Astyanax mexicanus: one gene and its partner. The protein of the gene in region 1 interacts with the protein of each later gene in a biochemical or structural test. Links are inferred from orthologs where the notes say so. Each region holds a gene or a part of one and is shown in the gene's direction. Other genes may lie near its edges. The genes, in order: sytl1 and rab27a.

Region 1 (13,093 bases):
ATAATAACCAGGACCGAAACAAGGACGGGAAAATCACTGAAGACGAGTTCAAACTGAAGGCAGATGAAGCAGCAGCTGCTCATGATGAGTTATGAGGACCAGCTCAGGGAATATAGCAATAAGATTGGATGTGTGTCTGTGTAACAGAATGAGTGGGAGGGATAATAAGGGTGGTATATTTGGCAGTGTGTGTTTGCAGTTTGTGTGTGTGTGAAGTTGTGTGTGTGTGTGTGTGTGTGTGTGAAATAGGTGTGTGTTAGAATGGGTTTGAATGTGTCTGTGTGTGATTACATGTAAGATCTTTTGAGTGTGTGAGAGTACCACGAATGTGTATGTGACTTTTTACAAAAAAAAGACCCTTTTTAATAAACACATTCCAAACCCCATCGTGTTTGTAAGTGAGTTTCTTATTGGAACAGCTATCCTCACAAATAAAGGAGACTAGTGAGGAAGGTTACCACTAAAGACACCTACTACACGTACAACTACTCCGAAGGAGTTAAATTGATGCTGCCACCACCATGCTTCACATTGAGGATGATGTGCTCGTGGTGATTTATTATCTCGTGCAGTGTTTATTGTCTGCCAAACATAGCGCTTCGTCTGATGTCCAGAAAGCTTTATTTTGGCCTCATCAAACCAAAGATCCTTACTGTACTTGACCCTGGAGTTTCTTACTTGCCTTTGGACAATTTAATTAAATAAATTTAATTTGCCTATAAAACACTGACTGGTGAAGAGCCTAGGTAACAATTGTCATATGCAGGGTCTCTTCCATCTCAGCTGCTAAAGCTTTTAACTCTGTCAAAATAGTCATATGTGTCTTAATGACCTGAGGCCTAAGGAAAGCCGTCTATAGACAGACTTATACACTGTAAACCCATACGTTGTTTAAACTCAAATGATTTAAGTCTGTTTTACATAAAATAGGATATATTTTTTAACTATACTCAACTATTTTTAGTTGAACATTTGTGGGCACATATAAACATTCAAACTGAGATCTTTGAGTTAAATCAACTTATAATAACTGAGTTTAGTCTGTTGCTACTGGCAGCTTCTTTTCCATTGGCTTCTATCACAATCTATTTGCATACTGGGTGTGTCCAACAGTTTCTGACTAACACTCACCATCAGTGTGTAGTTATTCCCCCTGGGCTACCTTAGAAATAAATTAGGTTCCCCTTTAGTTGTAATAACTTGATGTTTTAATTTACGCTAACTCAACTTTTCAGTCCCCATTATAAATTTGAGAAAACTGGCCGCCTTTAAGTAAACTCAACTTATACGGTCTTAAAGTATAACAAATATAAAAAAAATCAACTTTTCCCTTGGTTGTAATAACTTGATGTTCTAAGTCATGCTAACTTAACTTTTCATAACCCATTACTTAACTTTTTTAAGGCAACAGGTTTCCTCAATTTTTTTAAGTAAATTCAAACTTATCCGGGCTTACAGTGCACAAGATTTATACACGTGCCTTATTCTTCTATTTATTACTGATAGATTAAACTGAATTCCACGTTAAAATATATTTTATTTGATCTATTCGTCTATCTACCAACCTGTCCATTCATCCATCCATTAGCTCACCAACCACAGTCCTTCCAACTTATCTATTCTATCTATCAATCTATCTGTTCATTTATCTATTTCATTATGCTCTTTGCAGTCAAACTATTTTAATCTAAACTTAAATAAAAAATATATATATTTCGTAATATTTATATTTCGTATATTTAACATATCTATCATAGTTCGTAATATTTTTTTATGAGAGTACATTACATTTTTCTACAGTAATTGTTTTATGGTAATAAACAGATATATGGAGCAGTTTATGAGGTCAGTTTCTAAGGATGAGTAAATGTATATCCGCCAGAAGTTCCTGTATTCAAACACATGAGCTTAATCATTAGCTGTGTTAAGAATAAGCACATAAGAACATTTATGGTGGGATATTGATATTTTCATTATTGTTATCTCCTTACAGCTACTATTTTAACATTATTCTTTCTTTTATGTATTGTTTATGATATTATCATACACTTACATGCCACATGTCATAGTAAAGAAAACTAGTATTGTGTCCTATGACTTTTGCATATGTTCCACTGACACTAAAGACAAGTGCACTGACCTGCAGGATGTGCATGTGAGGTCTCCTGCAATGAATATGGAGGTGATAATGCCAGAGTCACATGTCAGCTGCTCGTCATGATCATTACCACCCACTGCGTTGTCTACTGTAGATGGTAATGTCTTCTACAATGTTTTCCTGGATTGAGGATGTTAAAGGGCCACATAACTTTGGAAATGGAATGATTCATTCATCTGGCACCCACTATCAGACCTTGCTCAAACTAATTCACTCAAAAGTAATTCATGATAGCTGGCCATGAGCACACTGGTGAGTTTTAAGCCTTACAAAATAACACCTCACAACTGATGCAGGTGTGGCTTCCCACGCCATACCCAGAAGTAACACTTCATGATCAATTTACATATATTTACAAGCAGTGTGGCTCTAAAAGCAATCCAAAAAAGGGTTTCAATGAGTAAAATGTCTCTTTTAGTTGATGACCAAGCCTATAACAGTTTATGCTTAACAAAACAGAAATGGTTCTTTAAAAGAATGAATGTTTTGCTGTTATAAAAGAATAGAAGAATTCCTAGGTGTCTCAGCATTACTCAGAATGAAGCATAACAAAAGGTTTGTTCAGAATGTTCCTGATAATCATTGTGTGTCTCCATGGGAGGGACTTTTTCACACACTGGATGGGGAAGTAATAAAATACCCATGTACACACCTTCTCACCTGCCACTATAAATCAGCAGACAAGAAGACTTGCCAAAATTCGTCAAAATAATTACTACAATAATAAAAACACGGATTCTTTACACTCAGCGTTTCAGCCTTTGGTTTTGGAAGTTGTGTAATTGTGTAATGATTGCATAATGCTTATGCTGCTTTCTGTGTATTTACTGGGTGTACTTGTGTGTGAAGGGCTGTGTATTCAGCAGGTGTGTACTGATAGCACTGGCCATGCTCAGCTACCCGGAGCTGCAGATCAGAGTGCATGACTGCAGTGTGCACAAACATGAACATAGCCATGCAATATTCTCTACATACAAGTCCATTCACTTGCACCATTTACACTTTAAACTTGACTGAATGTATTTTTCATAATCATACTACTGGAGTTACACTCATTAGCCTCAAAGTACAAGGTTTACATTTGTTTTGTTTGTTTTCTGTTTAAATGATACTACATGTAATATGTACACTTACAGCTGAAAGGAAATTCAGGCAATCAAAGACAGACCAAAATAGATAGATAGTTAAATGTAGCATTAATAGCATGATATACTTTTTTTTCAGAAAACAATAGTATAATTATATTTCTACTTAATAAAGTTGTTTGAAAGTAAATAAAAAAATAAGTAGGCTAAACTGGTGGGTGTGTGGATGGATGAATGGAATGCCAGGATGGGTGGATAGATGCTAAGTTTTGTTGATGAATGAATAGTTTGGTGAGTGAATGGATGGATGGATGGATGGATGGATGGACAAATAAAAATAGATAAGTTGGTACGTGGTTGGTGATCAAATAAATGGATGAATTGATAGCTTAGTGGATGGAAAAATATGGATAGATAGGTGGGTGGGTGAATGGCTAAATTGGTGGATGGAAAGACAGGATGGTTGGGTGGGTGGGTGGATGGATGGATGGATGAATGGATGGATGGCTAAATTGTTGGACGGACAGAAGGATGGTTGGTGAGTGAGATGGATGGATGGTTGGTGAGTGGATGAACACATGGATAGGCTGTTGGGAGGATCAAGTCAAGTCAAGTAGTTTTATTGTCAATACTACAGGACATACAGAGAATTGAAATTACGTTACTCTCATTCCCAATTTTACAGCAAGTACAGATAATAGATATAATAAAGGAGAATGGGAGACACAATGGGATGGACAAATAGAAAAGTTTTGTTGATGGATGGATAGTTTCGTGGATGGATGGATGAATGGATAGACGGAGACAGACAGACAGACAAGCTACACTCTTCACAAATGACTTTAGCTAAAGTATTTGATGGTCTAATGTGAATATCTCATGTATTTATTAATATATTTGTTAATTAATTTAATTTAGTTATAGATTGGATAGAGAGTGGGGAGAATGAGGTGATGAATATTAATCAGTCTCTCTGTGCAGTGAGCTGTGGAGTCCGGTTCAGATTTTGCAGGGAGCTGTGGGGCGGGGCTGAGTCTCTAATGAAGGCAGCTCATGCAGAAACAGGACTGTAGCTGTGCTGCTCCAGCTCGCGCTCCACCTGCTGAAACTCTGCTTAATGCTAACTCCAGCACACAGCGCTGAATGGGACACTTTGAGTGACCTGCAGGTAGGAGACTTTAATTAACTCACTCTGTGTTCAGTGTGTGTGTGTTGGTGAAGTAAAGGGTCAGTTGGAGAAGCAGGTGCGCGTGCACGAGCTCTCATTCAGTTGCACTCACACTGTATAGCAGTCAGTCAGTCTGGGCGGATGCGCGGATTTGCAGTAGAGACACGTGCAGGTTCACTTCAGAAAGACCCCAGTCGTTCTGTTAGAAAGGTCAGGGTCAGAAACTGGACTATACTGATCACTTAAATCTTATAAACTACTGTGTGAAGAGTTTATCACTTCTACACACGGTGTGGAGATACTTTTTGACCCAAATGCATCTGTTTCCTAACTTACTGAGGGTAGTAATGGGAGAGTCTCTGGCCTTCACAGCCTGCTGATTGTTTACTCTTGCCTGTTGTTGGTGCGCGTGCTCGTGCGCGCTCCCTGCTGCTATCCCTGCATCCTTGTTTAGGCCGGTGTTCTGTCGAGTTGTGCCACCTTGTCAAACCGTGCTACCCTAGTAGTGTTAATTTAAAAAAAACACCAAAAAAGGTAAAAAGTTATGCCCATTTAACGTTGTTTTATATTTTATTTTTTTAACTGATATTTACAGTATTTAAACATGCAATCAAGTTGTTTAATGCTCCCAATGAAAACTAATGAAGTATCATGAAAAACATGATGAGAACGTTAAAAAAAATGTTGGTGAGCGCATGCGCAGTTCCATAAAGAAGCACATATCGATAGGTAGCATAACTCGACAGAACATCGGTGGTTCCCAGCACTGGTCCTGGAGGATCCTCACTCCTCCACATTTTGGTGCTTACCCTGCACCCAAAACCTCACATTTCATCTAAATTAATCTGATGATCATCAGCCCTAGCATACAACTTGTTGCCAGTAGTATATTAAGTATATTTGTCTGTCCTGAGTCAGTCTATTCTGTTGAAGAGCCAGTGCCAAGCTGTATTTTCCAGCAACACTACTTTTATTAAAGTCAAACACATGAAATTTAATCTATTTGCCTGGGAGAAAACTTGTAGCCAGTGGTATACGAAGTGTATTTTTCTTTATATCATCTGTGTCTTGAGTCTGATTATTCTAATAAAGAGCCAGTGCCAAACTGTATTTTCCCAACAACACTACCTTTATAAAAGAAAAGTGCGCTCAAGTATATATTTTAAAAATGTTCTTAACATGGTAAAGTACATAGTTTTAGCATTAAAATTAATACATACTTAAATACATACTAAATGCACTACTTTGGAACAACTTACAGCAACGCAAGTATATTTCAGTTGTAATTAGGCTATATTTAAACACAACAAAAAAAGCTTTAGATTGTGTTTTTGAGTGCTTTTTAAGTATAACTTCTGTGAACTTAGATTTAACGTAGATTTAAGATTTAAATGTTTTTTTCAAACATAATTTGTAATACAATTGGAGTACATTCTAAATGTATTACTTTATTCTTTCTTTTATCTGGAGTACCTTGTAAATGTATTACTTTATTATTTATTTTATCTTATTGTATCTTATCTTAGATAATAATTGCTCTTTTGGGAGAAACTGGACTTTGTGAAATCACAATCATTTATCATTTTCAGTATCAACTTTTCAGTAGCTTTAATTCCTCTTATCTTTTAAAACGAGTTGTTTACAAACTTTTTTTTAAACAGAATTCTTTTTATTTTTGGAGGAACAGAAATTGGATTTTGAAATTGGATTTTGACAGACATTCGTTTTGTACTCTGCTCAGGTGTTTCTAGAGAGTTAGGAGTGTTTTAGCTCAGGAAAACACTAACGTGCAGTCCCAGCAGATATGCTCTCATGGGTATCAAATGGGTTTTACATCAGCATGGGCTCTACATGGATTTGTACATGTATTTTACTTATTTATTTTACCCATCATATACATTTATATGTGGGCCATGGACTTAAATTTTTCCATGGCCCAGTTGAGCTCCCTGTACAGACCCCACATGGGCATGGTATGCAGGGGACAGGGCACTTACAGGACCAGGGATGGTAACCAGGCTATGTTTAATAGATTTACTTGACTGTGGTGCATCTGATTCTGTCCATGTTCTGATCTTCTCCCTGTGCTGCCCAGGTTGGTTTATTTATGTATTATTCTATTATATATTTTGTGATAGCTTTATGAAGCTAAAAGATTAAAAAGATTAAATTACTTAATTTAGGCCAAATGTACACATTTTAGTTGTTTAAAGATTTTTTTGTAAAGCAGCCTAAACTCTTGGTACAATGTAGTTATAGGCAAAACATCATGGGTTTGTAAATGTAAAAGTATGTGAATTAATCATGAAGTGTGTGATAGTGATGATGGTGCGAGTTCAGTCCCTTCTGATGTACTGTTGATTTAGCCATTAAAGTGTCTTTTCTGAAAACAGAATCTGCAAACCGCATTTGAACTACTTCATGAACTTCAGAGTTCTGCATAGATTTCAGTTTTTAAATGATATTTGGTCTGTGAGATATCTGCGACATGAACTGATTACGAGGTCCTTCTCAGCAGTTTATGCCGTGTTTGGTTTTAGCTGTCCAAATACTGAGCAAACAGGCAAAAGATAATTTCGCTTGTTTAGTGGTTAAAGAGCTGAGCTGTGAAGAGCTGGAGGGGAGCAGTGAAGTGTGTGTGTGTGTGTGTGTGTGTGTGTGTGTGTGTACACAGTGTACAGGTGACTTTTGTTATTCTCATTTAAAGCTCCACCCTTAACTTCCAGGTTTGCTCTATCAGAACATGAGTGCTTTGCTTTGGTGTGTAGAGTCACATCAAACAGTTTTAGTGTTATTGATTTGAAGCAGATATAGGTGATTGATTGTGATCAGTGCTAATTGTTGGTGTTTCTGATGCAGAGTGGGGTGTGTGGTGGAAAAATAATGACAGGAAGAAAGAAATTTTCAGAGTCTCTGAGTCTTGATCAGAATGAGTAACAAGATTTATTGAGAAGACACACGTAATGAATACAGAGTGAACTCCTGCCTTGCAAGAGTGCCAAGCTCTCTTTATACCCCACCCTTACTATCTTGCTTTCCCAATTATGGGCACAGTGCCACCATTGTGACACGTCAACTTCTTCTGACATGTGATATGACATAATCCCTTAGTGAGCATCTCAGGCTGGTCCTCAAAATACTGCAAGCAGGAGAGGGAGATGGCCCTGGCGCCAGGGCTTGTAGACACAACAGCTGTGACGTACATTCCTTTAACACACACATACACACACACATAGACACACACTGCTGGCGCCAGATAGAGAAAACTCTTACTCAGCATTTCAGAAAAGCTCACTGAGGGTAAAATGTTCACAGTACACATTATCATCGCATAGAACAAAAAGTAATATCATTAATAGTCGTCATTGTTTATGAATCATCACACGTCATTGATTATGAATCATTTCAGTAAACACTTTCCATCACAGGTGCGTGAGCTGAGCTCGATATGGAGGAGGAAGCTGATCTGCTGGATTTGGCTCACCTGACCGAGGTGGAACAGACCATGATTTTAAACGTTCTGCTGAGGGATGCTGAGTTACGGCAGCGGGAGGAGGGCAGGATCAGGTGAGTGGGTCAGGGGTACGGGCGGGCAATATGGCACTAAAATAATATCACAATATTTTACTGTATTTTTGCGATAACAATACTCTTGCCGATATAACAAAACACTGAATTTAAAAACAATAATTTCGAGAATACACTACTGCATTAAAATTAAAATTAAATTTTATTATTGTATATGATATGATATTGCACGCCCCTAACTGAGATATTAAAAAATACAAGAATTTTATCAGATTTGTAACAGAAGTCAATGATCCAGAATGTCATAATACTAATAATGAATTCCAAATATCTTCATATAGGATCTCGAGGATTAAAGTAAAATAAATGATACTGGACAGATATAATCTCTGATATAATTTATGCAGGGTTATAAAACAAGGAACGGAAAGGAATTTGAATGGTAATGTTAAGTCAAGTCAAGAGGCTTTTTATTATTATTACATCTGAGTACAGTTGTTCAGTGTATTGAAATTACGTTCCTCCGGAACCATGGTGCAACATGGAACAACAATACAATAGACAAACACAAAGTGCAAACACTACAATAAATACATTAAATTCAAAAGATGAGACAATTTAACAGACAGGACAGTGCAGTATTGATACGGTACAATAAAATGTGCATGGTGAGAATATGGTGCAGAGATATGTAACATACTGTAACATATATCACATGCGTGAGCACAGCAGTTACTGAGGTAGAAAGTTTAAAGTTTTTATAGAATGAGTCAGCAAATATTGCCGATAAGGATAGAGACATTCTAATGTATGTTATTTTGCGGTCATTTTTCGTATGTGTGTTTCTATGTCTGTGTTTTTAGCAAGCTTGGGCAGGTAGAATCGGACCCTGTGCGTCTGCGCTCCCTCAGTGGGACCTGGTTTACTGAAGAGCGCGCCAAACGGCATCAAAGCAGAGGGGCTGACATTATCCACGCCTCCATACGACGCAAAAAACGGGGCAAAGGTCTTATATTTACTGACATTTAACCTCATAAGTGAAATTGTGCCCTCATTATAGTGCACATTTATGTATTTTTTTCTTAGTTACTGTTAAACGCTGATTTACCCTTCTCTGTCTTTGTTCTTGTTGTGCAGATACGCTTGTGATGTCGGTGTTTGAGGATAAGGAGGAACAGAATTTGTCGGAGAATCAGGAAGAAAGCGCAGTAGAGGACACAGCAGATCTAAAAGAAACAGAAATCGTGGAAAAAGAAACTGAAACTGAGGAGGAAGAAAAGAGAGAGAGGTTGATGCAGTGTTTAAGTTGTCACAGTCTGAAGCCCTATTTGATGTGAATTAGTTTTGCACTGTAATTAATAAGTAGTTCCTTTTATAAAAGTTTCTATGTCACTAAGAACTAAAGGGTCTTGTCTTAAAGGTACTTTTAGAGGTTTCTCTAAGTCCTTTAGGATTCTTTAGTATGAAATATGGTTTTAACTAGGGCTGCACGATATATTGTTTAAGCATTGTCATCGCAATGTGCACATGCACAATTGCAGGACATGTGATGTCACTTATGGCAGTTAAATCAAACACGTCATGTTGTAATGTTTTGATTCTTGACACGAGAAGTAGATACACAGCGCTGTCTCTGTGTCTGTGTAAGTGACAGGCTGCTGCTGTCTGCATGAGAAGCTCGAAGAGGGGCAGGAGTAAACACTGCATATGGCCTCTATCCACATGGTTGGGCATGTGCTTGTAAATGCACCAGTCCAAACCTCAGTGCAGTACAGTTTTGTGCAGATATTTCCAGTTACAGCTGAATTCACGCTTTTAATCCCAGAAAAACGCTCTTATTTACCTTTTTTAAAAAGCCCATTTGAATGCCTGATTAAAGAGCCTATTACTGTTGTTTGTTGTTTTCCTCTGGTTTTGAGTGCTCAGCGCTGACTCAGCTCTTGATCGTCTCGAATGCAAGACAGCGCGTGGGTAGGGGTGGGGCTGGTGACGCCATGGGCCCTGCATTGTTTAATATCGCGATATATATAGTCAAAAAAAGAACATTTGCAATGTAATTTTTTTCCAATATCGTGCAGCTCTAGTTCCAACTATGTGGAAGCTCTTTAATGCTCTTTTGAGGGCTTTTGTCCTTAAGAACAGGTTCTTCTTAGGATCTTAAAATGAAGATTCTTTCTAATTAAGGAACCTTCAAAAGGTCCTCAGGTATTTTGTCCTTTAAACAGTGACCTAGTGCGGTACTGTAATTGTGCTATCACCAACCAGAGCTGTGGTTGTAGTTGAGTTCTGAGTTGTACTGGAGTGACTGACATTCTGTTAGACAAGACATTTTAATAATTGTAGCTCATGGTTGTAGAGTGGCTACTTTTTGTTTCTTTCACTTTAAAACTGATATGAAGTAATCATCAAAAGCATCTCATTATTTCAACTAACCTTAATCATTCCTCTTCAGTCCCATCCTCATTGTGGCCCCTGAACCACGGCCCAGGAGGAAACGTGTCCCCAAGGTCAGTATTTCTGTTTGTGTGTACTGTATGTAAGAATAAGAGGTATTTACGTAGGGGCAGCTTTGGTTAAAAGTTGAAATTCTTATTATGGCAATTTGGGCTTAGGCTGTTTTTCTGTGGAAGAATCTGAGTGTCTGGGATATACTGTTTATCGTAAATAGAAAATGTTTTAATCGTCTTTTTTCTAAATTATACATACAGGGTTATAATGTACATGAAGCACACCTCTGTATATATATTTGCATTTACATTTTTTTATCCCCAGAAAAATGAAGAGAACACAGAAGGTAGTTCAGGAGTTGAAGGTAAGTTCTGCATGTGCATTGTGTGAACGTCACACAACAGTAACTGAACGTTCATAAAGTGAATAGATTCATGAAGTGGCTCCTATTTCACTTTATTCTAAGGCTCTTTTTTTCCTCTCCTCTCTTCTCTCTTACTTCTTTATCACTATTTCTGAACTACTGTCTCAGAAAGTGTTGCAGATTCGGATGTTGTGAATGACAGAGTTCTACAGAATGCCTCTCCAACACTGCTGGTATGTTTAACAGATAACGTTGCTGTCCAAACAAAACTATCAGCATTGTCCTCAAATTTAAAGTAAAACAGTAAAGATGCCAATTTTGGGCAATTTCTATTGGTCTAATCATTCATGTGAAATAATGCAGTAACCCAAACTGAAGACAGAATATTATGTAATGTACCTAGTGTTTAGACTGAATATGTGTATTGGTAAGAACTTGGCAATGCAATATGTAAGATGATACTGGGGTTACTATTCGATATTTCAAAATATAGTGTGATATTCTAAGGAAGACGTGTTTTAATTGTTTAAATCAAATTTTAGGAAAATTGTCATAGTAGAAATAACACTTTCATATTTCAAAAATCTAAAAATCAATCAAAACATGCATAAACAGTATCATAACAGTGGAATATAATAAAGGAGCACAACATTTCTACCTAGTGGGCTACTGTCTGACACCAATCTTACCAGGTAAACTAATGATAAAACAATTGTACTGTGTTTTTAAACATGAATATAGAATTGCAAACAAAATATTGTAATACTCCAATACATCAATATTTTCACTCACTCCTTGTTTAGACATCTGCACAGAAGTGTTTTACCTCCTCTCTTGTTGGTGTGTGTATGTAGGTGGACTCAGAGGGTGATATTGACTCTGGCAGCACTGAACTGGCTGACACCAGATTTGGCTCAATTAACAGCCTGCACTCCAGTCATATGGTACGTCACACACCTGCACCTAAGAGCAACATCGCTGGCATTGAGCTGGTGCTTCAGACATCTCAGCCGCTGTTACACAGAGCAACAGGACCTTTAAACCTTTGCCTCTGGAGCTGTAAGTTATTGCAAGAATAATCTGACTGACTGTGGTAAGTGTTTGTGTTTATTGCAGATGAGTGGAAGTCTGATGAGTCTGTACAGTGTGGGGGATTTCGGAGGTGTAACAGTGACTGGGCGAATTCAGCTCTCTCTGCATTATGATCCCAAGAAGGAGGAACTCCATGTTCGTGTGTGTTGTTGTCAGGACCTGGCGCCAGCACGTAATAACCGCTCTGACCCGTAAGTGTCTGGCAAAAATGATGCCATGTATGTTCTAGGTTTGTGTTATAACTGCTAGGACTTTTGGATAAATAAATAAAAGGTATCTATGTTGTTATTGTAATAAGGGTTTTCACGATAAACACATTAAAAGGGCTGCATAACACCTGAATAACAGCAAACTCAAATTACTTCACATTATCTTCACATTACATTGTCGGTTCCCATCTGACATAATGACCATTGTGAAAAGGAAATCTATTCTATTCTATTCTATTCTATGTGCTTAAATTAAGGGTAAAGACTACTAAAAGTGCATTTTCAATTTAATATACTTTATGAAAATACACATTAGATATACTTTCTCTGTATTTCCATAAAATGTATTTTTAAGCAATATACTTTAAATTATACATTGTTCTGGTTTATATATATATAGCGTGACATTAAATACTGCTTAAAGTGTACGTGTATTTTTTTTTTCCAGTAGCGTAAGGTGTACACTTTGTGCGTCAATACACAAACTATTACATGGACAATATACATTATGTAAATGTTACTTTAAGTGTATTAAAATGATATTTAAAAACCACATACTTAATTCTACTTAAGTTTGCAGAAGTTGTACGAAAGAAGCACTTAAAATCACAATCTAGTGCTTTTATGTTGTGTTTAAATGTAGCTTAATTACAGTTGAAATATACTTAAGTTACAATTTAAGTACATATTTTAATTGTAAAATGTATGTACTTTTTCATGTTAATTATACTTTTAAAAATATACTTAATACACTTTTCTTTTACAAAGGGAGGCTGGAGTGAGGCAAAGAAGCTTAGAGAGAGGTAAAAGTGCAGAGTAAACACTCAAACCACACCAAACCACTTCTGAGACTAAGCGGAATGAGTGCAGGCAAGACAAGTGATGAGAACCTTAGAGGAGTTTAAAGAATCCTTATTTATCATATTTAATGTTGAGAACAGGATATTTAACACCGTTACGGCACATTGCATTTTTTGTCCATACTGTTCACCTCTAAAAAAAACTATTATTTATAAATAATAATCATATTAAACCATTTTG
Region 2 (13,237 bases), on another chromosome or scaffold:
AGGAGGATACAAAACAATACAACATAAGAATAAATGCACAGGGATATTATACAAAAATAGAAAGGATAGAAACAAGAAAAATATTTTGGCGCTATAGTTTTGCCCATAGATGGATAGGGAAGGCTGACATCAATGTATCCCAGTATTATATAAAATGGTCCAGTCTTAACTGCATCATAAACGTGTCTTTTCATTGCATATATTTCGTATACAGCATCAATCCATTGTTTTACAAACCATTTTTATGATCTTTTTTAACCTTGCCTCAAAATGTGTATATATATTTGTTGCTAACTAGAATTAATCTACAATTTGTGGATGTTAAAATATTAACTGTTTTCTGTTTTTTTTTTTTTTCAGAATTTTCAAAATGTTTAATTAGGATTAAGAATTCCAGTTGGTAATTTTTAAATAGCCTTACCACTGTAAAACCTATGTTTTTTGTGCTTGAATTAAAAATGAGTTAGGCGATTATTTTAGGAGGTGTCGATATGAAAAACATAGCCAGAGCCGGTTTATAGAAAGGGTGCCCACTTCCTATCTCCACCGGTATGTTAGAAAATAATAACGACTAGAGAGAGCCCGTGAGCGAGCCCTCAATAAAAGTTGGTGAATGGAGCTAAAGGCTAAAACTGTAATTATAAATAGTTATTAATCACTGGTCTAAAACCTTACTATAATTTTGAAAGGTTGAAATATGCATTATGTTATAAAGCAAAAAAACAGCTTTTTTTTTTTTTTTTTTTTTTTACTGTTAAAGGGTTTCAGACAGTAAAGGCGCTAGCATTATTGCTCCAGCAATTAGTGCTGGCTGCTCGATATGCTGGAGTTTAAAATGTCTTACAACTGGAGTTTAAATGCTTTAAAATAGCGTCTTTGTTGCTGAAACAATTGATATTCTGTGGTGTATAAAAAATATTAAACATTTAGAAACATGTATTCATGTTAAAACATGTATTTTGCTCCATATCACTCGCCCTCTGGTGTCTGAAAAACTCAGAAACATTCTCAAATGGGCATGTGTTTTTTCCTACATTGTAAATGAATACTAAAATCATCCAGACTTTGAAGGAACACACAAGAAATTATGTACTACCTTAAAAAAGCGTTAAACAAACCAAAATACTCTGTGAAGTTTTTAGGTGCTCTTATCTGGAGTGCTGTTAACTAGTGGATTCTGAGGCTGGCAACTCTGATGAATTTATCCTGTGCAACAGATAAATAAAACATATTCTGGTTTAACACATAATTCTATATGTTTTTCTTTATAGTTTAGATGACTTTAGTATTAATCTTCAATACAGCACATTTAAAAATAAACCTCAGTAAACATCTCCTCGTGGCTGTATAAGAGAATAAATCAGTGTAATTGGTACTGATTATAAACACCATGGAAAATATGGCTAGTTAAATAAGTCGCTGTTTCGCGAATCTGCGTTTGTCCGCTCTGTGTTGCCGTACATGACCTTGCTGTCCTGGTATGGCAGCGCTGTGGGTAGGAGCAGCAGCGCTGATTTTAATACGTTTTTCTCTGTATTTATAGTAATAAATAATATTCTGTAGTCCTGCTGGTGGTGTAGTCAGTCAGTCGCCTGTCTCCGCTGTGTGTGAGAGTCAGACCCGCGCGCTCTGATCCTCCTGAGACTGCTTAATCTCCCGGAACTCGGTAAGAAGTACGGTTGGGCACGGTAATCACATCACGATATTTTACCCTGTTTACGCGATAACGATAATATTGGCGATATGATAGAACATTTAATATTTAATATTAATCTACAATGATAAAAAAATCAATAAAGAAAAAACATTGAATGAGAAGGTGTGTCCAAACTTTTGACTGGTACTGTATAATGTAAATTAAACATTACGTAGAAACAGCTTTGGTCTGTTTCTGTATAATTTGTAATCAACATTACTTAGAAAGGTTACTGTGCTGGTTACACAGTTACTATACGCTGAATTTTAATTCTAAGTGCTTTAGAAATAATTTATTTTAAAGCAAGATGAGCTGAAGAAGTTAGCTTAAAATGAGCATTTTTTATTACCAAACCAGCAACCTTGCTTGCTGACCCTGAACTACTGACGATATAAAAAAAAATAATAATGCTGTACTGATTTAAATTCTTTCTAAACTTCAGTTTTCACTTTCCTCCCATGCAGGTTGAGAGATGCAGATGACCAGTGTGATTTTTTGTCATAGGTGAACAGTATTTTCTGTAAAATGTAAACTGTAAACTTTAGATTATGCAACAAATTATCTAATATATGTATAAGAAATAATTGAGTAAAAATTAAATCTAGCATACGAAGCATATGAAATGTTATGCAGTTGCATGGTTTGAACACCTGAGGTCACAATCCCGCTAGTGTGAACCAAAGAACCAGAGGGCGTAAGAACAGAGTGGAGGATATGTCAGTCATTTTTGACTGCAGCCAATCACACAAGCGCTTTTTTCTGCTATATGGGGGGCTGGGGGGGCACCGTGATCATTGCACAAGTTTTGGTTCTCCAGGCTTATAAGTCTCCTTATTTTTTTGTCATTCAACATTTTTTGTTCCAAATATTGTGAGAAAATTAAATCATGAATCTAATCGAGAACAGAGTGAATCGTTACACCCCTGGTCATTGTATTATTAATGCTCTTTGTCTTTCCAAGAAAATTAGAACAGTAAGAGTTTCCCATTTGTATCAAGCAAGTTGTAGCCTGAAATTTATAAAGGATCATGATGACGATACTAAAACAATATATTGTGCCGCTTAATAGAAATAATTACTTTTAAAGTGTAAACTTTCTTTTTGTGCAAAATAGTTGCAATAAAATGTTTGTGTTAGTGGACTGCTAGTTGTTCTCTTCTGCATTAAATTAACTGAAATATTTCCTCTCTCAGCAGCAGACTTTGGTGGAAACTAGCAATAATTTTCGAATGGACTGAAAAGCTTTCTTTAGACTTGCCATCATGCTTCCAAGGCGGATACCATTCAACCAGATCGCTTTTGCAACTCTGCTCGGGGTAGGAGGGGGCATCTATATCTACAAACCCATGTTTGAACTTCCACGAAGGTCCAGAAGCACACCAAGCCAACAGGACATCAAAACTGAAGCAGACAGTAAAGGGACTGATCCAGGCGTACATGAAAATACTGCCAAACCAGCCGCAAGTGCAACAAATACTGGAGCAACACCAGAGGCTTCTGCAGCCAAATGAAGCTTGACAGTGATTCTCAAATCAATATGTTCATGCATCTGTGTGCCTTTGCAGTTTGTCTGTGTTTAACTAAATAAAAAGCCATGTACATATTCTAAAAATATGTATATATATTGATCCTGTGTATTAATTTATGGCCAATCTGTTTTTGTATCTGTTCTATTTTCATTATAGGTGACTTTTTACTCCACAACACACATCTACTCTGCATAACCCCAAAAAAGTAAAAGTCGTTCCTCTTCTGGTGTATGTGTTTATGAAAACCTAACACATATAGACAAAATAGTACAAAAATAAAGTTGGCCAATCAGGATACAGTGTTTAATTAGTTTTGACCTATTGGTTGTAAGTAACTATTGGAAGCGAACAGTTCAGCATCTGGTTTCTACCTCCTGGTTTCTGCACCCATTATCACATTTGTTTAGCTCCACTGAGCATAAAGGAGCACATTGTAGTTCTGTAATCACAGACTGTACAGCGGCTTTAAAAAGTATTCATATCCCTTGAACTTTTTCACATTTTGTCACCTTACAACCACAAACTGTGGCAAGATGTAAAAGTTGCTGTTCACAGACGCTCTCCATCCAACCTGGTTGAGCTTAAGCTATTTTACAAAGAATAATAGGCCAAAATTTCAGTCTCTTGATGTGCAAAGCTGGTAACAAACCCCAAAAGACGCTGAAGAAGCTGTAATTGCAGTGAAGGATGGCTCTACTAAGTATTGATTAGGTGGGTGAATACTTTTGCACATCCCACTTTTCAAGTTTTATTTGATTAAATTTTGTTTTTCCACTTCGAAAATTTGTGTTACTTTGTGTTGCGTCTATCGTTTATAATCTCAATATAATACATTTAAATTTGTGTTTCTAAGGTGACAAAATGTGGAAAAAGTTCAAGAGTATTTTATTAAATAGATTGGTGAAGCAAGAGTAAGACTACCGTTTCTGCACCTAAAATGATTTGATTAACAACGAGGTTTGGTTATGAAAACTTCAATAGCACATTATTGTCATATAGTAAATTTAAAGTTTTTTTTTTTACTGAAGTGGAGGTCTAAAGGGGGGACTTCTACTTTACCAGAGTTATATTTTATTTTTGGTATCTACTCAATTAATATACAGGTTTTGGGTACTTTACTCACTGGTTTTAAAGCACGAGGCCACAAGGTGGTGCAAAAATAACATCCACCAATTATGATGAAGAAAAGCAGCTGCTATTTATTTATTTTATATAACTATTGTTATGCTGTTATAAGATTACCATGCTGTAGAAAAGAAATGATGCAAATTGATTCTGAATACAGCACAGATGTTTTAACATGTAGTTAAAACCTTGTAAATATTAAAAAAACAAACATATAGACTTAATGTATAGAGAAAAAAGGACACTGTTTCACAAGGATTTAAACAAGCACAGGTATATATCCAGAATCATTAAAGTAAAAAGTACATTTTATTATATAAAAAGTAAAAGATGTATTGATAATTCAGACGAAATAATAGCATCACATAGGATAAGACAGATGCTAACCCTCCAAATTAAAAGAACCACATACAGTACAAGCCAAAAGTTTGGACAAACCTCTTCTCAATCTGTGTGTTTTTTTCCTTTTTATGATTTTTTTTAAATTGTTAATATAATATTGAAGCTATACAGGAACACATGCAGAATTATTTCGTAAACAGAAAGTGTTTAAAGGAAGATATGTTTTATACTTAAGATTATTCTAAGTATCACATATCTTTGAGGACAGATCTGCACACTCTTGATATTTTAATCTCAGTGTCTTCATGAGGGAGAGTCACCTGGAATCGTTTCTCAGCATCTTGAAGGAGTTTCTGGAGGTGCTGAACAATAGCTGCTGCTGTTCCCACGCTCATTCCAAATCATCATCACAGATCATCAGATTTAGATCAGGGGATTGTGAACACATTATTACTGTTTATTATATAGATCCATATGTGACCCTTAATCTTTTTATCTATTTAATATTAATCTATAATGTAATAATAAATATTTGAATAAAGAAAAACATTGAATGAGAAGGTGTGTCCAAACTTTTGACATGTAATGTTTGTATTGAAAAATAAACAAAATATTTTTTTAAACATTTGTAAATGCTTTATGAATTACGTTAGGTAAAAAGTTAGCATTTAACAGAACTCAATAGACAACAAACAACTGGTAATAAACAACAGATTTTGCTTGCATGTATTGTATTGCAGAAAAAAGTTAAAAGAAAAAAAACGGAATTTAATTTACTTTTTAAGGACTAAAAATATAGATTTACATTTGTTTTTTAAGTTATTTTTTATTAAACTTTTCTTGCATTTTCTTTTAATTACCTTTATTGCATTTTTTAGATTGCTAGACTAAACAATTTAATAATACAGCCATTCTGCACAAGGCTTTCTTGTTTAGATTTTATTTATAATTACCATTATTACATTTTTTTAGATTGCTAGATTAAAATTTACATTAATACAGCCATTCTGTAACAGTTGTCTGGTGTATTAAGAAAATAGTTTATAGGTTGTTTATTATTAAGAGATATTAATAAACAACGATATTATTGATAAAAAAATAACAAATATCAAGTTTCCGTTCCAGCAATTACTGAAAAAGTAGTGTAGTGTTGTGTTCAGTTATAGAAGCCTGTCTATCGTGGTCGGTGTGCTCTATTCTCTCCAACATCCTGGAGAAAGGAGTGAGGGAGGGGTAGGCCCTGTTTTGTTTCCCACCCGTACTCAACCCTCCTGTGCTCTGCTGTGCTAAAACTTCGAGCCCTCACGCAGCTCGTCTATTTGCTGTTGGTTTGCTTGTTCAGCTCGATAACCAATCGCAGCGCAGGAGGAGAGCCGCGGCTGGCCAATCCCATCTCAGCAAGGCGGGACTTTACCTAAAACAGGTGGGAAACGAAAAAGCGCTGAACGGGAAGTAGTGCTGCTGCTGCGTCAACCCCGAGAGACTTCAGCCGTGTGGACCTCGATGCAGGCTGTGCTTCAGCTTCAGGAAAAGCAAATTCAGCCTAAAGTAGCTTAAAGTCACTGTTTAAAACTAGACGCGTAGCTTTAAAAGGCTTTGGCGTTGGTATAATTTGCATAGCAGCGTTTTTTTCTTCAGAAATATCGACTAAGTGAAGGTAGCCGCCTGGTAAGTTAAACCCTTCTGCTGTCTACTTCTCTCAAAAGTTAATGAATTGGCTTAAAACTGTAAGTTTTTGCATTTTCTGCGTGATATAATATGTTTAAGCGTGTTAAACGCCCTTTCAGACACTTTTTTCGTGTTTTAAAGCATTAAAACTTTAATCGAAGTGATATTTCGGCTCACAGACTGGGAAAAAGTTGCAAAATTCCCAGTGCTTGTGACACATCACCTGTAGCTGATGTTTTAATGATGGATTGGGGGAGTTTATGGGAACAGGCAATGCAGTGCAGGAACTGGCAAAGCTGTGAGATTTTAAATGATCTAACCTACCCAGTTTAGCTTATATCTTTCTGTCTGTCTTGTCATGTGTCATCATCAGACACGTGGCTGTATGTTAGCACATTTAAAAGGGCTTTATAAACTATTTTCTTTAACCCGTAAGAGCCCAGATCCATTTCTGAATATTGATGCCATATCAAAAATGGAATCAGATAAATTCAGTGAGTGGCTCATTTATTTTTTCTTAATTATGTGCACATAATTGTAAATATTTAAAGTTAAACATGCTAAATTTATGGTGTAACATAAATGACACAACAACAATTTCATAACCTGTATTTTAACTAGTGGTGCCAATCTTTCAAAAAATCTATTACAATATTCTGTGATTAACTGCATTTAATCACACTTTTTTTTCTTAAGACATTTATATATATGTAAATAAATGTATATATGTAAATAAAAGAATAAATACAACAAATGTAAAATGCAATTATATTTTTATATTAGTGGTGAAAATTAAAATACTAGTGTATATACTCGCAGAATAAAGGCACTATCAATGAATGTCTATTTTCTGGTTTATTTTCATACATTTATATATTTTGGCATGACTGGGCTTTCATATAGTTTTGTGGCTTATTCTATTGTCAGGAGTTCTTAGAATATAAAACATTAAGACATTAATTTAAAGCTTTGATTACTATAGGGTTTACTTTTCCCTCAAGGGTACACAATATGTGAAGGAATCAGACTGCATTTGCAGGAAATCAGTAAACGTAAAATTGAGAGATGCCAACAACTTTAACACGTCTTCCTTTTTAAAACTTCCTATAGACACTATAAACGGACATAAAATACTCAAAATGTTTAAGTATTGTAACTATTATCTTCTGTTTCACAATTAAGACTTTAAGTTTGTCTAAATCTGGCGCATTCACTGCATGAATAAGGGATATAGATTATTGTATATACCTTCCCTGTAATGTGTATTATCATTTTTAAATAAAGTCAAAGGTCATATCTAATACCAAACATGCTCTATCTGCAGCCTGTTTGATTCTGATGATTGAAGAATTAAGATTTGACGTAGATTTTCACATGCTGACTAAGGAAATGTGTAAGTCTTCCTTTATTAGCTAATACATGTGTCTAGAACTAAGAGGAACCTGATTTCTGTGAGTAGATGCATGGTTTCCTTTCTACTAAATAAGACTGGTAGAAAGAATAAGGCAAGCTGGTTCTGTGCATTATTGGACAGTAGCTTTAATTAAAGTTATTTACCGTGATTACAGTTAATTGTGGTTTGATAAATATTTTAAAATAAAGAATATCAATAAGTTTCTTTGTTATACATTTTATTATGCTTTTTATATTATTTTATTATGATTTTCTGTAAAACAATTACAGTCCAGAAATGTTTCCTCCTTCCTTGTAGTCTGCAGGTTAGTTGCTGAGAGTGGATTGCTCAACCTTCTTTTTCTTATTAACTATATCTTTATAGTGCTCTACACTCCTGTGGCCAGGCATTGTTTTTGGACATGTTCTTGTTGAATAGAGCTGAAAGAGGAGTTATGTCATGTGTACTGGTATACCATTATTAATTTTACCATTACACTGCTATTACGTTTCAATGATATTGATATTTTTGGCCCTAAAGGTTAAAACAACATGCAAAATTGACATTTCCTGGCCCTGGGCTTGGGGAAAACCCTAAAAGGACACACTTCACATGTGCTGTTCTTGTCAAGTTGGGAGATGCAGAACCTTTCACTGAAAGTGAAAGAAGCTTGAGGCGAATGAGGCGGTACAGTAATATTACAGGATTTTATACAAATATGACTACACAGGTTACACAGGTTATGCAGCGCTACACACTTCTTGTGAGCATTGTGTGCTCACTTCACCAGAGTCACATAGTGAAGTTAGCAGCATATCAAGCCTGAAGAAATAATAGAGATGCTTGTCTCTCTATTACAATCAGTGGAGTATCAACATAATTTTAAAGCTGATATTTTAAGGTAAAATCGGCATACTGCTATCATTTGCATGACAATGTGGAAATTATATAAAAAATGTAGTTATTAGGTATCAGGGGGGATCTGTGACCAAACTTAGTGTCTCCTTTACATTCGAGTATGCAGTTGTGGTTGGGGGGGAGGTAATATCTAATATTAGTTTACATTATTTTGCTGTGTTAACATCAACAAAATCATAGGTCAATTTTTTTTTTTTTTTTTTTTTTTAAATGGTATAATTTAATTATTATACGTAGTACGGTCAAGAAAAGGAACTAAACAAATTCTTTGAATCTTTATACTATGAGACTTTAAGTACTTGTGAAATATGAGCTTAATAACTCAAAGTGAAGTGGAGTGAATTTGGATTTTATCCACATTTTACAGTTTAAATTAATACATTTTATGTGATTCCAACTTCTGAATACACAGAAAATGTAAAACTAAGATAAAAATTTCCTGCAGTGTCAAACCCATTTTTCACCTAATGCCAAGCGTGGGCTAGAGGCGTATAAATCCCCTAGTTTTGAGCTGATAATGGTGCTCCATCCAATATTTTTTGGGTAAGGTGGGGTGGATAGCTCAATGCAATTCAATCCTAATAACAATGCCCCAAAATCTAATAGGAAGCCTTTTCATGGACAGTAGAGACATTTATTATGGGTGCATCTTGATATCGGAATTAAATCAGTATCTGTATTTTCTGATTTGGTCGATAATTCAAACCGATACTTGCTGATGTATTTATTGTATGATTGAAAAGAATAAAGCATTGCTGGCCATGCTACTACAACTGGCCGGCAATGACTGCTCTACTTTAAAACCCGTTTATTTATGCTAAACATTTGTTTTAATAAACCTGTTTTTTTTTTTTTGTCCCTGTTAAGAGGGTTTAAAGCTGTGGGCGGTCTGTGTAAGGACCAGACTAAAGATATATACTTGTCACATCGGATATCAGCATCGGCACAGAACATCGGTGCACCTTTTATGAAACTTACTCAGTACTTAACACTAACTTTCAGTTTTGTTATTAACTTTAAATGTATCATATGATACCGTGATTTACTTGAGAAATTTCATTATTGTTTCCATATCGTCCAGCTCTAAATTAAAACACCCCTTTTTAAATAGACCCCTTTATTAAAGTTTCTTCAATAATTTTTATGTCATTTTTATTTCTGAAATACAAAGGATAAATTACATTAAGTGCTAGCCCTAATGTCAAAGAAACTAAGATTCAAACTAAGTGCTCACGTTTAGCTGGTTTGCTGTGAATTTGTAAGCACGTGTGGCTCTTTAGCAGGATCAGGAATGGGTGGTCACATGACACAGTGCCTAAAGCACATGAGGACCAGCTGAGGGATATTAGATGAGGATGGTTTGTGTGCCAGAAATGAGTCTGACTCATTGCATCCGTATTACCCTCGTCTGGGCAAACTGCACTCTCAATCGCTCTGTGTGTTCTTGGGCGTTCCACTATTTTACACTAATCTGAAACTAGTCGTAAATGAGCATTAGCTATGAGATGAATTAGGACTGGGTTGAAGGATCCTGTCTTTGATCAGTTTTTTTTTTTTTTTTTGTTAAGCCAGGAAATGTCATGATGTGTTTCTCACCCTTGTAATAAATGAACTATTTAAATCGCTCAGATTTTGTAACAATGTTTAAATTCTAACACAGAAGAGTCCATTATATCCCAAACATTATTACATTAAAGATACAGTGTGGCTAATTGTTGGGCTATTCATTGTCCTTTTTCTGGGGCTGTATATTAACTGTATATAGAGTCTTTGACCTGTAGAAATGTGAGTGTGGTGTAGTGTGCAAACACTGTAAAGTTTTAAAAATGTCCCAAACATCTGTACTTTATAGTAGTTTATAGATGAGAGAATGTCTAAGGTGTCACTGCTCATACCGTCCTTGGGTGTAGTGTACCTTGTGTACTCTGAGACTAATATTTTGTCAACCGCCCCTGAACTGTTCAAAAGCTTTCTGGCAGACACCTCAAACTGAAAATCGTCTGTCTCAAAAAAAAAAAAAAAAATATATATATATATATATATATATATATATTTTTTTTTTTTTACTATTACTGCTATTTTGTGTATTATTTGTGTTTTTTTTTTTTTTTTACAGTCATAATGTCTTCAGTTATTTGGGCTTTCATGGTTACAAGCCCCTCCTTCTCTTGCAGCTTTACCCGCAAACTGATTTTGGAAGGTGTGACTTGATTACTAAACAGACTCTGTGTTAAGCATTAAGAAAACTCCTAGTCATATTTCAACCAGCAAGCCGGCTCTTCATAAATAACTTGTATCTGGTTTCACTGCGCACAGGTTTTTCATCCTGAAAGAACTTTAATCTTGTCCTGTGTGCATTTTTAATGGGGACTGTGGGACCATGTTAGTCTGAAGCCCCGGTCAAGGTCTGAAGTAGCACATGTAAATTTGCATTCTCCTCCAAGTGATTTATCCTGTCCAGACTGAAAAAATTATGTGATTAAAATCATGTAATTCAGCGGAAGCCTGTTCAAACACAGTCTTACTTACTGTACCTTTAATGCATTATTATGAAAAAATTGGGAAACAATGAACTTTCCTGTTTTCCTGAACTTGCCTCATTATTTAAAGTTTAATCTTTCTCTGCAAAATCAAAATTACTGAATTATTTCATTGTAAGCCTTAATTTATATTATCCTCTCAGCAGATTGGGACCTAGCTAGTGAATGGGAAACTTGCTAAACTAGAGATTTAACTTAGCTTCTTTTACCCCATGAACATTGTGTGTGCATTTATATAAATGCCCATTCAGCCTACTGCAGTTTATTTAGGACTGATAACTCTAGAGTATGGATGAACCGATGTGGGAAATTTGAACCAATGATGGATAAAATGAAAGGTATCTCCTAAAAAATTAGTTTTTGCATTCTTTGGCTTCACAGTTATTTAGCTTACTTGTTCTAACAAAACAGTAATTATCAAACAATACAGATATAATTCTGAAATAATTATGCATCGCTACTAAGGAGAGTTTCAACAAAGTCTTTTTTTTAAAATAAGGCACAACATCACAAGGCCTGAGGAATAATGAGAGGGTAAAAACTATTCATGTAGTAATGAACTAGGACAGGGGTCGGCAATTAAGTTTGGCCGCGGGCCAGATTTATTCCAAGCCATTACATGGCGGGCCACAAGCACTTGGCGGGGGGGGGGGGGGGGGGGGCGGGGCTGACATTCAAGTGGGCTGATGTGGGTGAAATCTGTGGACTGACCATTGGGGGCGCTATTAATGATATACCTGTTTGTTAAATAATAAAAAAAAACGAATAAAAAAAAAAAAAACAGAATAAAGAAGCTAGCAGTTATCTAACAGCCCGTGTCAAAAAAATCTTTAATAAATTTTTCTGTTTTGGAAAATTAAGTTTCTAAATAAAGAGCATTTTTGAGACGGACTGTCCGATTTTTTTTTTTTCATTATAGTTCAACCTCCCGGGCCAGATGTTTCTTGCTTGCGGGCCGCATCTGGCCCGCGGGCCGCCTATTGCCGACCTATGAACTAGGACCTTATTAGTATTAGAATTAGTATTAATCTTTGTGTTAAATTTTTCTCACTGCACACGTCATAATGTGACGTAACAATCATTATAGTAGTGTCCCATTCATTAACAAACTGCTGTATAAGACTTTGTTACATTGTTGTGTTAGAGGTTATTCATTGGCTTGCATAAACTCAGTTTAAGACGACAGGATTATGTTGTAATGTAATGTGGAGTTTCCTGATCATCGTTTGTGGACATTTTACACTAATAGGTGTTTATGATGAGGAGTTCAGTTCAAGCACTGGCACTGGAAAAGAGAAGTAAACTCATTAAAAAAAAACTTGTCATGACTTGACATGAGTGTGTGTGTATGTGTGTGTCTGCATGGCACTGTGGGTCACACCCAGTTTGGCTGCGTGTGCCTGTGCCTTTGTTTAAGTTCAGTGGGATCTGCATATCCGCCTGCCTGCTGGCTACACTCTGTCCATTAGTGTTGGAGTGCTGCCCAGGCTGCTCGACACTCCGCCCTCCTGCCAGCCTCTCTGCTAGGAAAATATGAGAGGGAAAAAACCCTCGGGCTTCTCAAGGCATCCCTTCGTCCATCTCTGTGCAGACAGCGAGATCAGGGGTTTAGGCCTGTGACAGTATCAAGATTAGCAATATTGAGCCCAATATTAGCTCAGAATAGCACAAGGACATCGTAGGCCTGTTAACCTGTCTATGTCTATATATGTGTCTGTTCTTGTGTTCTTAACCTTTTTGCTGTGCAACCCTTTTTTAGGGATCAAAATATTAAAACCAGCCCTCCCCCAACTCATCCCCGACCGCACACTGCTTTTCCAAAATAGAAAAAAAACCTAACCGTGTGCAAAACTGCAATTAGGGGTGGGACAGTATATTGTAATTTTGACACATCCTATTGTTTCCATTGTATCCTATTGTTTTGATATTTGGCCTCAAATATTATTTTTTTTTTTGTTATTGATACATAGGTGCTCTACATTCCCTCAGATTCTTCCCTAATTTGACTTGAATCCATGTGGTGCCG

What was found.
Region 2: the proteins of sytl1 (region 1) and rab27a form a complex in vitro, tested with the Homo sapiens proteins (3 studies listed by BioGRID). The link is inferred for Astyanax mexicanus from reciprocal best matches to the Homo sapiens genes SYTL1 and RAB27A.

Annotation. Positions count from the first base shown.
Region 1 is NC_064410.1:50,001,392-50,014,484, reverse strand, and holds the start of sytl1 (synaptotagmin-like protein 1), read left to right. Parts: upstream 1-7,844; 5' UTR 7,845-7,859; coding exon 7,860-7,978; intron 7,979-8,802; coding exon 8,803-8,945; intron 8,946-9,076; coding exon 9,077-9,227; intron 9,228-10,391; coding exon 10,392-10,446; intron 10,447-10,711; coding exon 10,712-10,751; intron 10,752-10,919; coding exon 10,920-10,984; intron 10,985-11,605; coding exon 11,606-11,695; intron 11,696-11,867; coding exon 11,868-12,034; intron 12,035-13,093. Other genes in the region: peptidyl-prolyl cis-trans isomerase FKBP9, read left to right, coding at 1-95.
Region 2 is NC_064416.1:40,330,827-40,344,063, forward strand, and holds the start of rab27a (ras-related protein Rab-27A), read left to right. Parts: upstream 1-6,141; 5' UTR 6,142-6,360; intron 6,361-13,237. UniProt on the Homo sapiens protein: Small GTPase which cycles between active GTP-bound and inactive GDP-bound states. In its active state, binds to a variety of effector proteins to regulate homeostasis of late endocytic pathway, including endosomal positioning, maturation and secretion.